Anolis sagrei: one gene and its partner. The protein of the gene in region 1 purifies or fractionates together with the protein of each later gene. This does not show direct contact. Links are inferred from orthologs where the notes say so. Each region holds a gene or a part of one and is shown in the gene's direction. Other genes may lie near its edges.

Region 1 (7,632 bases):
GTTCCTGCTTTGCTGTGCTGCCGATGCCACTGACATGGACCACCGTGGTTGTGAAAGGCATTGCTTTGCCCCACAACATTCGGGATGTAACAAGAGCACGGACCACCGTGGTTGTGAAAGGCATTGCTTTGCCCCACAACATTCGGGATGTAACAAGAGCGCGGACCACCGTGGTTGTGAAAGGCATTGCTTTGCCCCACAACATTCGGGATGTAACAAGAGCGCGGACCACCGTGGTTGTGAAAGGCATTGCTTTGCCCCACAACATTCTTTCAGCCCTGAATTTTTTTCCTGAGGTCCTAATGATTTAGAAGATGGTGTCTCCTTCAATTCTGAATCGAGTAACTGGCAGCACGGTGAAAATACCAAACATATTCAGTTTGTGCAACCCCCTTTTTTCCCTATGGAATGCAGCGATTTGAAATATATGTTACCACATACAGAGAGAAGCTGCAGTACTGATCCGTGTGTTTAATTACACTGAGATTAATAAACAGCAGGTCTTTGGGTTCAGAATTAAATTGAGCAAACAGTTATATCCCATTCTAGGACTTGTTGCAACAGGTCCAAACTCTCCAATCTGTATAATTTAATATCAATGTACCAGCAACAAACTATTGCCATTAACAAGGAATACCAAAATTGTGGGTTATTTCTCTGTCTTATCAGCGAAAAGGGAAGCCAAAGTGCCAGAATCAGAGATCAAGATAAACAAAAGGCTGGGTTCCATGACAGGAATACCTCAGCTCAGCTGCAGTGGACAAAAGTTGGGCTTTGGGTGCATGTACATTATAGGACAAATGTAGTTCGAGACCACTTCACCTGTCATGGGAGAAAGAACTCGTGTCTGTTTGAGGCAAGTGTGAATGTTGCAATTGGCCACCTTGATTAGCATTTAATGGCCTTGCAGTTTCATAGAATCATAGAATCAAAGAGTTGGAAGAGACCTCATGGGCCATCCAGTCCAACCCCCTGCCAAGAAGCAGGAATATTGCATTCAAATCACCCCTGACAGATGGCCATCCAGCCTCTGCTTAAAAGCTTCCAAAGAAGGAGCCTCCACCACACTCCGGGGCAGAGAGTTCCACTGCTGAACGGCTCTCACAGTCAGGAAGTTCTTCCTAAAGTTCAGATGGAATCTCCTTTCTTGTAGTTTGAAGCCATTGTTCCGCGTCCTAGTCTCCAGGGAAGCGGAAAACAAGCTTGCTCCCTCCTCCCTGTGGCTTCCTCTCACATATTTATACATGGCTATCATATCTCCTCTCAGCCTTCTCTTCTTCAGGCTAAACATGCCCACCTCCTTAAGCCGCTCCAAGCCTGGCTTCTTCCTGCCTGTGGGAATCCTTTGTTGGGCAGTGTTAGCGGGCCTTGATTGATTCTTGTCTGGAATTCCTCTTTTTTTAGTGTTACTCTTTATTTACTGTCCTGATTTTAGAGTTTTTAAAATACTGGTAGCCAATTTCATTGGACAATTTCAACAGAAAGGAGGAAACAATGAAAATGAACAAAATCTGGCAACTAGTATTTTAGAAACACTAAAATCAGGACAGTAAATAAAGAACAACTCTTAATAAACAGGGGAATTCCAGACAGGATACAATCAGGTCCAGCTAACAACTCCCAACGAAGTATTCCCCCCCCCGGCAGGAAGCAGCCAGGCTTTGAAGCTGCAAGGCCATTCAATGACAATGAAAGTGGCCAATTGAAACATTCACACTTGCCTCAAGCAGACCAGAGTTCTTTCTCCCACCCTGGACATTCCACAGATATATAAACCTCACTTGCCTAGTTTCAAACAGACCTCACAACCCCTGAGGATGCCTGCCATAGATGTGGGCAAAACTTCAGGAGAAAATGCTTCTGGAATACGGCCGTACAGACCGGAAAACTCACAGCAACTCAGAGGTATCTATGTTCTTGATATCAAGGAAGACAAGAGGAGGGGGCGGAGAAAGTGCGCCTAACTCTAGGCCCCGCCCATTCCAACCACTTGATGGGCGGAGACAGAACGTTTAACTTCAAGCCCCGCCCACTCAAAGCCCCTTTTTTGTTGTTGTTGTGAGAGAATTGGCCTGGATGATTTTTGATGTTTTATTATCCTTGTGGGAGGCTTCTCTCATGTCCCCGCATGAGGAGCTGGAGCTGATAGAGGGAGAGCTCATCCGCCTCTCCCCGGATTCGAACCTGCGACCTATCGGTCTGCAGTCCTGCCGGCACCGTGCTTTAACCCACTGCGCCACCGGGGGCTCCTACTCAAAGCCCTTAATGGGCGGAGACAGAAGCCTAACTCTAAGCCCCGCCTATTTGGAGCTCTTGATGGGCGGAGACAGAACGCCTAACTCTAGGCCCCGCCCATTCCAAGCCCTTGAGAGGCCTAACTCCAAGCCATCCCTATTTCGAGCCCTTGATTGGCGGAGACAGAGCTTCTGAGTCCAAGCCCCGCCCATTCCAAGGCCTTATTGAGCGGAGACAGAACTTCTAAACCCAAGCCCCGCCTATTTGGAGCTCTTGATGGGCGGAGACAGAAAGCCTAACTCCAAGCCCCGCCCATTCCGAGCCCTTGATGGGCGCAGCCAAAACGCCCAACTCCAAGCCCCGCCTATTTGGAGCTCTTGATGGACAGAGACATCTTCAAGCCCCGCCCATTCCACCCCTTGATGAACGGAGAAAGAGTTCCTAAGCCTAAGCCCCGCCCATTCCAAGCCCTTGATGGGCGGAGACAGAACGCCCAACTTCAAGCCCCGCCCATTCTACTCCTTGATGAGCAGAGACAGAGCGTCTAAGTCCAAACCCCGCCCATTCCAAGCCCTCAATGGGCGGAGACAGAACCCTAACTCCAAGCCCCGCCCATTCGGAGCCCTTATTTATTTATTTCTCGTGTCAGGGCAGCCAGTCAATTATATTACATTTCCAACAGAACAAAGCAAACAAACAGAGAAAATACAAAATTTGTGAGTTTGGTAGTTGATCAAATGTCCTTTGACCAGTATCTGGCCACTTGGAGTGCTTCTGGTGTTGCTGCAAGAAGGTCCTCCATGGTGCATGTGTCAGGGCTCAGGGTGCATTGCAGCAGGTGGTCAGTGGTTTGTTCTTCTCCGCACTCCCATGCCGAGGATTCCACTTTGTAGCCCCATTTCTTAAGATTGGCTCTGCATCTCGTGGTGCCAGAGCAGCCTGTTCAGCGCCTTCCAAGTCGCCCAGTCTTCTGTGTGCCCAGGGGGGAGTCTCTCATCTGGTATCACCCATGAATTGAGGTGCTGGGTTTGGGCCTGCCACTTTTGGACTCTCGCTTGCTGAGGTGTTCCAGCGAGTGTCTCTGTAGATCTAAGAAAACTATGTCTTGATTTAAGTCGTTGGCGTGGTGGCTGATACCCAAACAGGAGATGAGCTGGAGATGTCTCTGCCTTGGTCCTTTCACTATTGGCTGCTACTTCCCGGCGGATGTCAGGTGATGCAATACCAGCTAAGCAGTGTAATTTCTCCAGTGGTGTAGGGCGCAGACACCCCGTGATAATGCGGCATGTCTCATTAAGAGCCACAGCCACTGTTTCAGTGTGGTGAGATGTGTTCCATACTGGACATGCATACTCAGCAGCAGAGTAGCATAGCGCAAGGGCAGATGTCTTCACCGTATCTGGTTGTGATCCCCAGGTTGTGCCAGTCAGCTTTCCTATGATATTGTTTCTCGCACCCACTTTTTGCTTGATGTTCAGGCCGTGCTTCTTATAGGTAAGAGCACAGTCCAGAGTGACTCCCAGGTATTTGGGTGTGCTGCAATGCTCCAGTGGGATTCCTTCCCAGGTGATCTTCAGAGCTCGGGATGCTTGTCTGTTCTTGAGATGAAAGGCACATGTCTGTGTTTTAGATGGGTTGGGGATCAGCTGGTTTCCCCTGTAATAGGCAGTAAGAGCACCTAGAGCTTCGGAGAGCTTCTGTTCAACCATCTCAAAGCTCCCTGCTTGAGCTTTGGTTCCAGAAGTAACCAGCATTCAACCCCTTGATGAGCGGAGACAGAGTTCCTAATCCTAAGCCCCGCCCATTCCAAGCCCTTGATGGGCGGAGACAGAACGCTCAACTTCAAGCCCCGCCCATTCCACCCTTGATGAGCGGAGACAGAGCTTCTAAGCCGAAGCCCCGCCTATTTGGAGCTCTTGATGGGCGGAGACAGAACGCCCTAACTCGAAGCCCCGCCCATTCCAAGCCCTTAGTGAGCGGAGACAGAGGTTCTAAGTCCAAACCCCGCCCATTCCAAGCCCTTAATGGGCGGAGACAGAACGCCTAACTCCAAGCCCCGCCCATTCGGAGCCCTTGATGGGCGGAGACAGAGCTTCTAAGTCAAATCCCCGCCTCTTTGGAACTCTTGCTGGGCGGGGACAGAACGCCCTAACTCGAAGCCCCGCCCAGTCGGAGCCCTTGATGGGCAGCTGGGGCCCCGCCTCCTGGCTGGTATGCGAAGGGCGGGCGGTGGAATGACGCCGGGGCCCCGGGGGTCACGTGGGGGCGAAAGGAATGCTAACAATGTAGCGAATGTCCCAACTGTGCGGGGCTGCTGCCGCATTTCTGGGCGCGAGGCGGAGGGAGGCGAGAAGAATGGAGAAGCAGCAGCAGCAGCAGAGGCAGCAATACGAATATGATGATTTGCGGGGCGCCTTCCGAAGCAGAAGCCAAGCTGTTCCCAGAGTGGTGGAAGTTTCCCCTTGATCCTTTTTCCCCCAGGAAAGAAAGAAAGCAAGCAAGCAAGCTTCCCTTTTGGAGGTAAGGAGCGCAGGAGGGGTGGGGCTGGGCGCCTTCCTCCTCCTTCCTTCTCCCAAAGCCCTTCTTGCTTTTCCTTCCTTGCTTCGGAGCAACAAGTCCGGGGAAGCTGTCGTGCAAAAGTTACTCAACTTGGAAGTATGAGAAGGAGAAACCCCGGGCATTGCAATGGCTCCTTCTTGGAAGTTGGGAGGGAGGAGTGGAAGGCTGGATGGTCATCTGTTGGGAGGGCTTTGGTTGTGTATGCCTGCATGGCAGAATGGGGTTGGAATCATCATCATGGTGGAGCCTCCTTCTTTAACTCCTTGAAGCTTTAATTCAGCAACTGGATGGCCATCTGTCGGGAGGGCTTTGGTTGTGTATTCCTGCATGGCAGAATGGGGTGGAATCATCATCATGGTGGAGCCTCCTTCTTTAACTCCTCGAGGGTTTTATTCAGCAGCTGGATGGCCATCTGTTGGGAGTGCTTGGGTTGTGTGTGTTTTTTCATGGCAGAATGGAGTGTTTGGGTTGTGTAGTCTTATATGGCAGAATGGGGTTGGACTGGATGGCCCTTGGGGTTCCCAACCAATTCTCCCTAACAATGCATTCCAAGTGGTGTTAGACTGCACTAATTCTGCAGTGTAGATGCTCCAGAACATACATGGGCAAACTTGGGCCCTCCAGGTGTTTTGGACTACAACTCCCACAATTCCTAACAGCCGGTAGGAATACTTATTATTGATAATAATATTGCAATATATTGCAATATAATACTAATAATGCAAAATGGTAATAGTATTTTATATATTACATGTAATATTACTAATAGTATTGCAGTATAGTAATACAAAATACTAATATTGTACTAAGCTAATAATACAATATGATAATCGTATTTTATATGTAATATTAATAATAATATTGCAACATAGTGGTATAGTAATATATAATACTAATATTGTACTATGCTGATAATATAATATATTGTATGTACGTATAATATTGAGCATAATATTGTAATACAATATAATCTTAAAGAATACAATATAATAATAATGTAATAATTATATATTACACTATAATAATTGTATATTATATAGTCCATGTAATATTACTAATAACATTGCAGTATAGTGTATAGTAAAATATAGGAATATATAATACTAATATTGTACTATGCTAATAAAATAATATCCTGTATGTACATATAATATGGATCATAATATTGTAATACAATATAATCCTAAAGAATACAATATAATAAAACAATAATTATATATTACATGTAATATATAATGTTGATAATACTATTATAATGTAATACAATGTAATGCTAATAATATTACAATATACTAATTGTATATTAAATATTACATGTAATATTACTAATAATATTGCAGTATAGTGGTATAGTACAATATAGGAATATATAATACTAACATTGTACAATGCTAATAATATAATGTATTTTAAGTATATATAATATTGATCATAATATTGTAATATAATGCAATAAACTAATAATACAATATAATAATTCTGTACTATATAATACATGTAATATTACTAATAATATTGCAGTATAGTGGAATATATAGGAATAGTGGAATATAAATAGGAATATATAATACTAATATTGTGCTATGCTATATATTGAATGTACATGTAATACTGATCATAATATTATAATACAATATAATAGTAATAATACAATTTGCGCAGTTGGTTAAACCGCTGAGCTGCTGAATTTACTGACCGAAAGGTTCACAGTTCAAATCCAGGGAGGGGGTGAACTCCCACTGTTAGCCTCAGCTTCTGCCAACCTAGCAGTTCGAAAACATGCAAATGTGAGTAGATCAATAGGTACCACTTCTGCGGGAAGGTAACAGTGCTCCATGCGGTCATGCCAGCCACATGTCCTTGGAGATGTCTAGGAACAATGCCAGCTCTCTAGCTTAGAAACAGAGATGAGCATCACCCCCCAGAGTCGGTCACGACTAGACTTAAAGGTGATGGGGAACCTTTACCTTTACTAAAATCAATATATTGAAAAATTTGGTGGATCTTAGATTCAATGACATCTTGGAACAGAATAAATAAGATATTACTATTCATGTTTTCCCAGTACTATCATCACATGGCATTCATAGAAGCAGGGCCGTAGCCAGAAAAAAATTTCGGGGAGGGTTGAAAATTTGGGGGGGGGGGGGTGTGTGTGAAAATTTTGGGGAGGGTTGAAAATTTTGGGGGTGGGTGGGGTTGAAATCTGCTTCCTAGCTCACGCTGAAGCAAAGAGCACAGCAGGGGGCAGAGCAACCTTCAATAGCCTGCAGCTCCACCCCTGTCAACCACCTCCACCAAGTCTGGCCCCCAACTTGGTTGCTTCACTACATCGGCTATTGCTGCAAGTAATAATAATAATGAATAAATTGTCAATATTTGCTTGAGATAGTGCTTACATTTCTGGAGGGACTCTTGATTTTTTTGCATCTCATAGACTTAGCATGGGGATTTGGTTAACCAGTTAAAATTCATGAGTAAACCAGTTTTTTTAAAAAAAATCTGAAACATTTCGGGGGGGGGGGTTGAACCCCTAAAACCACCCTCTCGCTACAGGCCTGCATAGAAGTTCCTTCTCAATTTTTATTTATCAACGTCTTCCTCAAATTTCTGAAAACTACTAGTCTCTCTCCCACCCCCACATTAAAGTCAAATACAAAAAAAGTTTCAAAATATTTTTTTTGCCAAAAATAGTACTGTTTTAGATTTGAATGAGAGTCCAAGAAGTTAAAATTTGTTTGTTTATCTATATACTATTTTTATACTCCACCCTCTCTCAACCCAGAGGGGACTCAGAGCAACTTACAAGTTTTATGTACATACAATGTATTATTAGCA
Region 2 (7,353 bases), on another chromosome or scaffold:
CGTTCAGTTGTCTCCGACTCTTCATGACCTCATGGACCAGCCCACGCCAGAGCTCCCTGTCGGCCATCACCATCCCCAGCTCCTTTGAATTGCACATGTCTACTTCATAGGTCAACCTTCGTGCCCAGTTCTAGTCCCGGCCTAAATGGCGGGGGAAGAGTCCCATTGCTTGAGCGACAACTCCTTGTTTCTTGTGTTTCAGCTCACCAAGAACAGAAAAGCAGACGAAATGGTGAAAGACCTCTACGTTGAGAACGCCCAGCTCCTGAAAGCCCTGGAGATGACGGAACAGAGGCATCAAACGGTGGAGAAGAAGAACTACTTGCTGGAGGAGAAAATTGCCAACCTCAGCAGGATCGTCAGCAACCTGACCTCCCCAACATTGGGGTCCACGGTTCAGCTGGGCTCGTAACACGTCTGCCGAACTCTGCACAACCCATGCACTTTAGTGAGGAAATGCTGGGCATTTCGCCTGTTTTAGAAAACGCTGCCTTTGGGATGTTAGAGGTTTAGATCCGTGCCAGGGCGGCTCCTTCTCAATCTCGATCTCAACTTCCTCCCTGGATGCCTTACTGCAAACTCCCCATTTGATGGAGAGTTCAACCTGGAGGAGGAGCGCTATGACGTTGGAAGTGCAATGCACCTTCAAACACTAAACATAGGTAGACCTCCATTCGCACAGTCCTTGGCCATTACTACTTGCACAGAAATGTTGATGCCAAAGCTACAAATCACAGAATCATAGAATCACAGAGTTGGAAGAGACCTCATGGGCCATCCAGTCCAACCCCATTCTGCCAAGAAGCAGGAAAATTGCATTCAAAGCACCCCTGACAGATGTCCATCCAGCCTCTGCTTAAAAGCTTCCAAAGGAGCTAGAGCAGAACATTGCGAGCATTTTTGAGACATGGTAATTCAGTTTTACTAGCAAACTGGAAGTTAAGCCAATCCCCTTTAAGAGATATGGACACAGACATACATTGTCATCTCCATTTCCAAGCTGAGGAGCCTGCGTTGTCCACTGACACCTCTTGGTCGTGTGGCGAGCATAACTGTCATTGATAAAGTGGCGTCAAACTGCATTAATTCTACAGTTTACATGCACCCTCTACTACTAGTCCTGGTATTAGTTGATTTCTCACACATCTTCACTCACTTTAAAGTTTCCACTGCTAGTCACATCTACACTGCGGAATTAATGCAGTTTGACATCACTTTAATGGCCCTCAATGCTATGGAATCCTAAGATGTGTGGTGTGGTGACGAGCATCGCTCTGGCAGAGGATAGAATAGAATCCTAGAATCCTAGAGTTGGAAGAGACCTCATGGGCCATTCAGTCCGACCCCATTCTGCCAAGAAGCAGGAATATTGCATTCAAAGCACCCCTGACAGATGGCCATCCAGCCTCTGTTTAAAAGCTTCCAAAGAAGGAGCCTCCACCACACTCCGGGGCAGAGAGTTCCACTGCTGAACGGCTCTCACAGTCAGGAAGTTCTTCCTCGTGTTCAGATGGAATCTCCTCTCTTGTAGTTTGAAGCCAGGATAATTGCCTTATATGACTATAACTCCCAGAATTCCACACCTTTTCAGACTCCAATTCCCAGAATTCCACAGCACTGAGCCTGCATTAATTGCACCATGCAGATGCATTGTAGGATGCAAGTGGTTGTGTTTCGTTTATGACAACTTCCATGTATTCATGCAAACACTATAATGTCAAGATTGCTCAGAAGTTGGCCCCCTTTGCCCAAGAGCACTTTTATTGATCTTGATTAGAGCACTTCCAGGGACTATTTCAATTTATTTTGAATTAATTGGAAGATTCTCAGGAATCTGAATGCCATACATGTTAGAACCAAAGCAAATGGGCAGCCCTGACTTCGGTCTCAACCTCAACATGTCCAGTAATTGTGTTGTTGTTGTTTTCTAACACCTTCAGTGTGGCTTTCTCTGTTTTTTAGAACGACTTTGATTCAATTTCATTTCAGTTGGAGGAGGGAGTTGATGTACATTATGTGCTACTTTTAATATATGGACTCTTACCAACACAATCCTCCTTAAGTTGTATCATTGCAACCGTGGTGGGGTGCGTGTGTATGTATGTGTGTGTGGGGGGGGGGGGGAGGAAAACAATGACACCATAATTACTTGGGAGGCTGGGAGGTGTTAGCTGGCAGTGCTTGTTTCTTGTCAGGTCCAGCTAACATCCCCCCCCCAAACAAAGGATTCCCCCAGGCAGCAACCAGCCAGGCTTTGAAGCTGCAAGGCCAGTCAATGCTAATCAATGTGGCCTGGAGAGACCAGTTGAGGGAGTTCAGTTCACCTTGGACAGTAAATCAGGACAGTAAAAAATGCGCAACACTCAAAAAACAGAGGAATTCCAAACAGGAAACAATCAGGGCCGCCAACAAAGGATTCCCCCAGGCAGCAACCAGCCAGGCTTTGAAGCTGCAAGGCCAGTCAATGCTAATCAATGTGGCCTGGAGAGACCAGTTGAGGGAGTTCAGTTCACCTTGGACAGTAAATCAGGACAGTAAAAAAAGCAACACTCAAAAAACAGAGGAATTCCAAACAGGAAACAATCAGGGCCGCCAACAAAGGTTTCCCCCAGGCAGCAACCTGCAAGGCTATTCAGTGCTAATCACTGTGACCTGGAGAGCCGAGTTGAGGTGGTTCAGTTCACTTTGGACAGTAAATAAATGGCCATTCAATGCTAATCAATGTGTCCTGGAGAGCCCAGTTGAGGGGGTTCAGTTCACCTTGGACAGTAAATAAAGAGCAACACTATAAAAAAAACAACAACAAAGGAATTCCAGACAGGAAACAATCAGGGCCAGCTAACACCTCCTAAGAAAGGATTCCCCAGGCAGCAATCAGCCAGGCTTTGAAGCTGCAAGGCCAGTCAATGCTAATCAATGTCGCCTGGAGAGCCCAGTTGAGGGTCAGCTAACACCTTCCAACAAAGGATCCCCTAGGAAGCAACCAGCCAGGCTTTGAAGCTGCAAGGCCAGTCAATGCCAATCAGTGTGGCCTGGAGAGCCCAGTTGAGGGAGTTCAGTTCACCTTGGACAGTAAATCAGGACTAAAAAAAAACCCAGAGGAATTCCAGACAGAAAATAATCAGGCCCAGCTAACACCTCCCAACAAAGGAGTCCCCCGGGCAGTGATCAGCCAGGCTTTTAAGCTGCATGGCCATTCAATGCCAATCAAGGTGGCCTGGAGAGCCCAGTTGGGGGCCAACTAACACCTTCCAACAAAGGATTCCCCCAGGCAGCAACCAGCCAGGCTTTGAAGCTGCAAGTCCAGTCAATGCTAATCAAGGTGGCCTGGAGAGCCCAGTTGAGGGCCAGCTAACACCTTCCAACAAAGGATCCCCTAGGAAGCAACCAGCCAGGCTTTGAAGCTGCAAGGCCAGTCAATGCCAATCAATGTGGCCTGGAGAGCCCAGTTGAGGTGGTTCAGTTCACCTTGGACAGTAAATCAGGACTAAAAAAGTCAGACGAATTCTGGACAGAAAATAATCAGGGCCAGCTAACACCTCCTAACAAAGCATTCCCCCAGGCAGCAATTAGCCAGGCTTTGAAGCTACAGGGCCATTTAATGCTAATCAATGTGGCCTGGAGAGCCCAGTTGAGGTGGTTCAGTTCACCTTGGACAGTAAATAAAGAGCAACACTATTTTTTTTAAAAGGAATTCCAGACAGGAAACAATCAGGGCCAGCTAACACTGCACACAAAGGATTTCCCCAGGAAGCAACCAGCCAGGCTTTGAAGCTACAAGGCCATGCAATGCTAATCAATGTGGCCTGGAGAGCCCAGTTGAGGGCCAGCTAACACCTTCCAACAAAGGATCCCCTAGGAAGCAACCAGCCAGGCTTTGAAGCTGCAGGGCCATTCAATGCTAATCAATGTCGCCTGGAGAGCCCAGTTGAGGTGGTTCAGTTCACCTTGGACAGTTAACCAGGACAGTAAACATAGAGCAACACTCAACAAACAGAGGAATTACAGACAGGAAACAATCAGGGCCAGCTAAGCAGGCATGGGCCAACTTGGGCCCTCCCTCCCTGCCTCCAAGGGTTTTGGACCACAACTCCCACAATTCCTAACAGCCTACCGGCTGTTAGGAATTGTGGGAGTTGTAGTCCAAAACCCCTGGAGGGAGGGCCCAAGTTGGCCCAGGTTTGTTGAAAACAGTTTTGAGAGCAATGAAGATTCTCCTTCCGGCCGCACGGTGGCGCTGTGAGCAGCTCTACCCGAGTCCTGAGTCCTGGCGGACTTCCGCTTCCTGTGTTTACCCCTGAATGAAGGGAAGAGGGTCGGTCTTCCGGGCGGGCCTTCTCCCTCTCTTTCTCCCTGAGTGTCCTTCCTCCCGGGTGGAAAAGGGAAGGTTCTCTTCCGAGGGGAAGGCCATGAGGAAGCGGAGGAGGCGGTGAGAGGGGCCGAGGGCAGGCCGGGCTTCCCTCCCTGCTTCCCTCCCTCTCTTCCTTCCCTGGCGGGGGATGCTTTCCCGGAAGAAGGCCCGGGGGGAGCTCTCGAAGCCCGGGGAGGTGCAGGGCAAGTACGTCATCAAGGAGACCAGCCCCCTCCTCCGCAGTGAGTAGGAAGGAGATGAAGGAGGGGAGGGGAAAAGGGGAGGGAAAGAGGGCAGGAAAGAATGAGTGAGAGGGAAGGAAGGGAAGAAGAAGGATGGAGAAAAGAAGAGTAAGAAGGAAGGGAAGGAGTTGAGAAGAAAGGAAGGAAAGAAGAAGGAAGTAGAGAAAAAGAAGGAGGAAGGAAGGAAAGAAGGAGATAGAGTTGAGAAGTAAGGAAAGAGTGAGTGACAGGGAAGGAAGGAAAGAAGAAGGAAGGAGATAACATTGAGAAGGAAGGGAAGAAGGAGTGAGCGGGAAGGAAGGAAGGAAAGAAGGAGTGAGAGGGAAGGAAGGAGAGAAGAAGAAGGAAGGATAGAAAGAAGGAGAAAAAGTTGAGAAGAAAGGAAACAATGATTGAGAGGGGAGGAAGGAAAGTGGAAGAAGAAGAAAAAGAGGGAAGAAGAGTAAGAAGGAAGAAAGGAGAGAAAGAAGGAAGAAGGGAAAGGAGATAAAAGTTGAGAAGGAAGGAAAGAATGAGTGAGAGGGAAGGAAGGAAAGAAGAAGGAAGGAGATAACGTTGAGAAGGAAGGGAAGAAGGAGTGAGCGGGAAGGAAGGAGAGAAGGAAGGAGAGAAAGAAGAAGAGAATGTTGAGAAGGAAGGAATGGAAAGAATGAGTGAAAGAGGGGAGGAAGGAAAAGGAGGAGGAGGAAGGGAAGGGTAGAAGAAGGAAGGAGAGAAAGAAGAAGAGAATGTTGAGAAGGAAGGAATGGAAAGAATGAGTGAAAGAAGGAAGGAGAGAAAGGGAAGGAAGGTAAGAAGAAGGAGAGAAAGAAGAAGAGTAAGAAGGGAGAAAGGAAAGAAGAGAGAACGTTGAGAAGCAAGGAAAAGAAAGAATGAGTGAAAGAGGGAAGGAAGGAGAGAAAGAAGAAGAGTAAGAAGGAAGAAAGGAAAGAGAGAAAGTTGAGAAGAAAGGAAAGAACGAGTGAGAGGGAAGGGAGGGAAGAAGAAAGAAGGAGACACAAAGGGTAGGAAAGAAGAAAGGAAAGAAAGTTGAGAAAAGGGAAAAGAAAGAATGAGCAATAGAGGGAAGGAAGAGGAAGAAAGGAAAGAAGGAGAGAAAGTTGAGAAGGAAGGAAAAAAAGAATGAGCAAAAGAGGGAAGGAATGAAAGGAGGAAGGAGAAAAAGAAGAAAAATAAGAGGGAAGAAAGGAAAGGAGAGAAAGTTGAGAAAGAAGGAAAAGAAAGAATGAGCGAAAGAGGGAAGGAAGAAGAGAAAGGGAAGGAATGAAAGGAGAAAGGAGAGGAAGAAAAGAAAGAAGGAAAGTTGAGAAGGAAGGAAAAGAAAGAATGAGTGAAAGAGGGAAGGAAGGAGAGAAAGGGGAAGAAGGAAAGAAGAGAAAGTTGAAAAGGAAGGGAAAGAAAAAATGACTGAAAGAGGGAAGGAAGAAGAGAAAGAAGGAAGAAAGGAAAGAAGGAGAGAAAGTTGAGAAGAAAGGAGAGAATGAGTGAAAGAGGGAAGGACAGAAAGTAGGGAAGAGAAGAAATTTGAGTAGGAAGGAAAGAGGGAAGATATGAGAGAAAGAGAGAAGGCAAGAAAGAAGGAGAGAAAGTAGGAAGGAAAGAAAGAAGGGGAAAAGAAGGGAAGAAAGTTGAGAAAGAAGGAAAGAATGAGTGAAGGAAGGAAGAAGGAGAGAAAGTCGGAAGAAAGGAAAGAAGGGAAAGAAAGAAAGTTGGGAAGGAAGGATAGAATGTGTGAAAGGGAAGGAAGGAAAGTGGGAAGGAAGGAAAGAATGAGTGAAAGAGGAAACGAAGAAGAGAAAGAGGAGGGGGGAAGAAACAAAAGAGGAGGAAGGAAAGGATAGGTAGGCAAGGAAGGAAGGAAGAAGGAAAGAGAAGGAAGGCACATAGCAGGGAAGGAAGAAGGAAAGAAAGGGAAAGCAGGAAGAAAGCTTGCTTAAAATGGCACTTATATTATCATGTTTAGTTGTATCTTGTTTTCATCTTGTTGTAAACTACTATCCAGTTAAAAATAGAACATACATTAAATAACAACATCCCTGAATATAGCCATTCTTAGGCCCAGTTTAAAACACCATAGACAGTTCTGGTTGTTACAGTCTATGACTTTAGGTTGGCTTGGAGTCCATGACTCAAACCAGTAGAATACACATGGGCAAACTTTGGCTCTCCTCTGGGTGTTTTGGATCCCACCCCTCCATAGTTTTACATGTTTTTAAATAAGAATATGTACTTCGTAATTAATAAATAATGTATAAATTGAAAATTTCAACAGAAAGGAGGAAATCATGAAAATGAACAAAATCTGGCTACCAGTATTAAAAAAAAACTCTAAAATCACAACAGCAAAACAACAGAGAGGAAACAATCAAGGACATCTAATCATCTCTCAGCAAAAGATTGCCCCAGGCATTGCCAGGCCATCAAATGCTACTCAAGGTGGCCAGTTGAAACATTCACACCTAGCTCCAACAGACAAGAGTTCTTTGTCCCACCCTGGTCATTCCACAGATATATAAACCCAATTTTCCTAGTTCCAACAGACCTCACTACCTCTGAGGATGCTTGCCATAGATGCAGGTGAAACATCAGGAGAGAATGCCTCTAGAACATGGCCATATAGCCCAAAAAAACCTACAACAACCCAATGTATAAATTCACATTTGCATGGAACAATAAAAAAGAAAGATCAACTTGAAAATGGTAGAAGCACAAAGTTGTGGCAAGGAAGCATCAAGTGAAGAGGCAGAATCATCATTTTAT

Evidence for each region.
Region 2: the proteins of LATS2 (region 1) and SAV1 purify together in Homo sapiens (affinity purification with western blotting; 4 studies listed by BioGRID, with this or other methods). This does not show direct contact. The link is inferred for Anolis sagrei from reciprocal best matches to the Homo sapiens genes LATS2 and SAV1.

The regions. Positions count from the first base shown.
Region 1 is NC_090023.1:28,496,103-28,503,734, reverse strand, and holds the start of LATS2 (serine/threonine-protein kinase LATS2), read left to right. Parts: upstream 1-4,495; 5' UTR 4,496-4,755; intron 4,756-7,632. UniProt on the Homo sapiens protein: Negative regulator of YAP1 in the Hippo signaling pathway that plays a pivotal role in organ size control and tumor suppression by restricting proliferation and promoting apoptosis.
Region 2 is NC_090021.1:339,940,694-339,948,046, forward strand, and holds the start of SAV1 (protein salvador homolog 1), read left to right. Parts: upstream 1-4,302; 5' UTR 4,303-4,499; coding exon 4,500-4,593; intron 4,594-7,353. UniProt on the Homo sapiens protein: Regulator of STK3/MST2 and STK4/MST1 in the Hippo signaling pathway which plays a pivotal role in organ size control and tumor suppression by restricting proliferation and promoting apoptosis.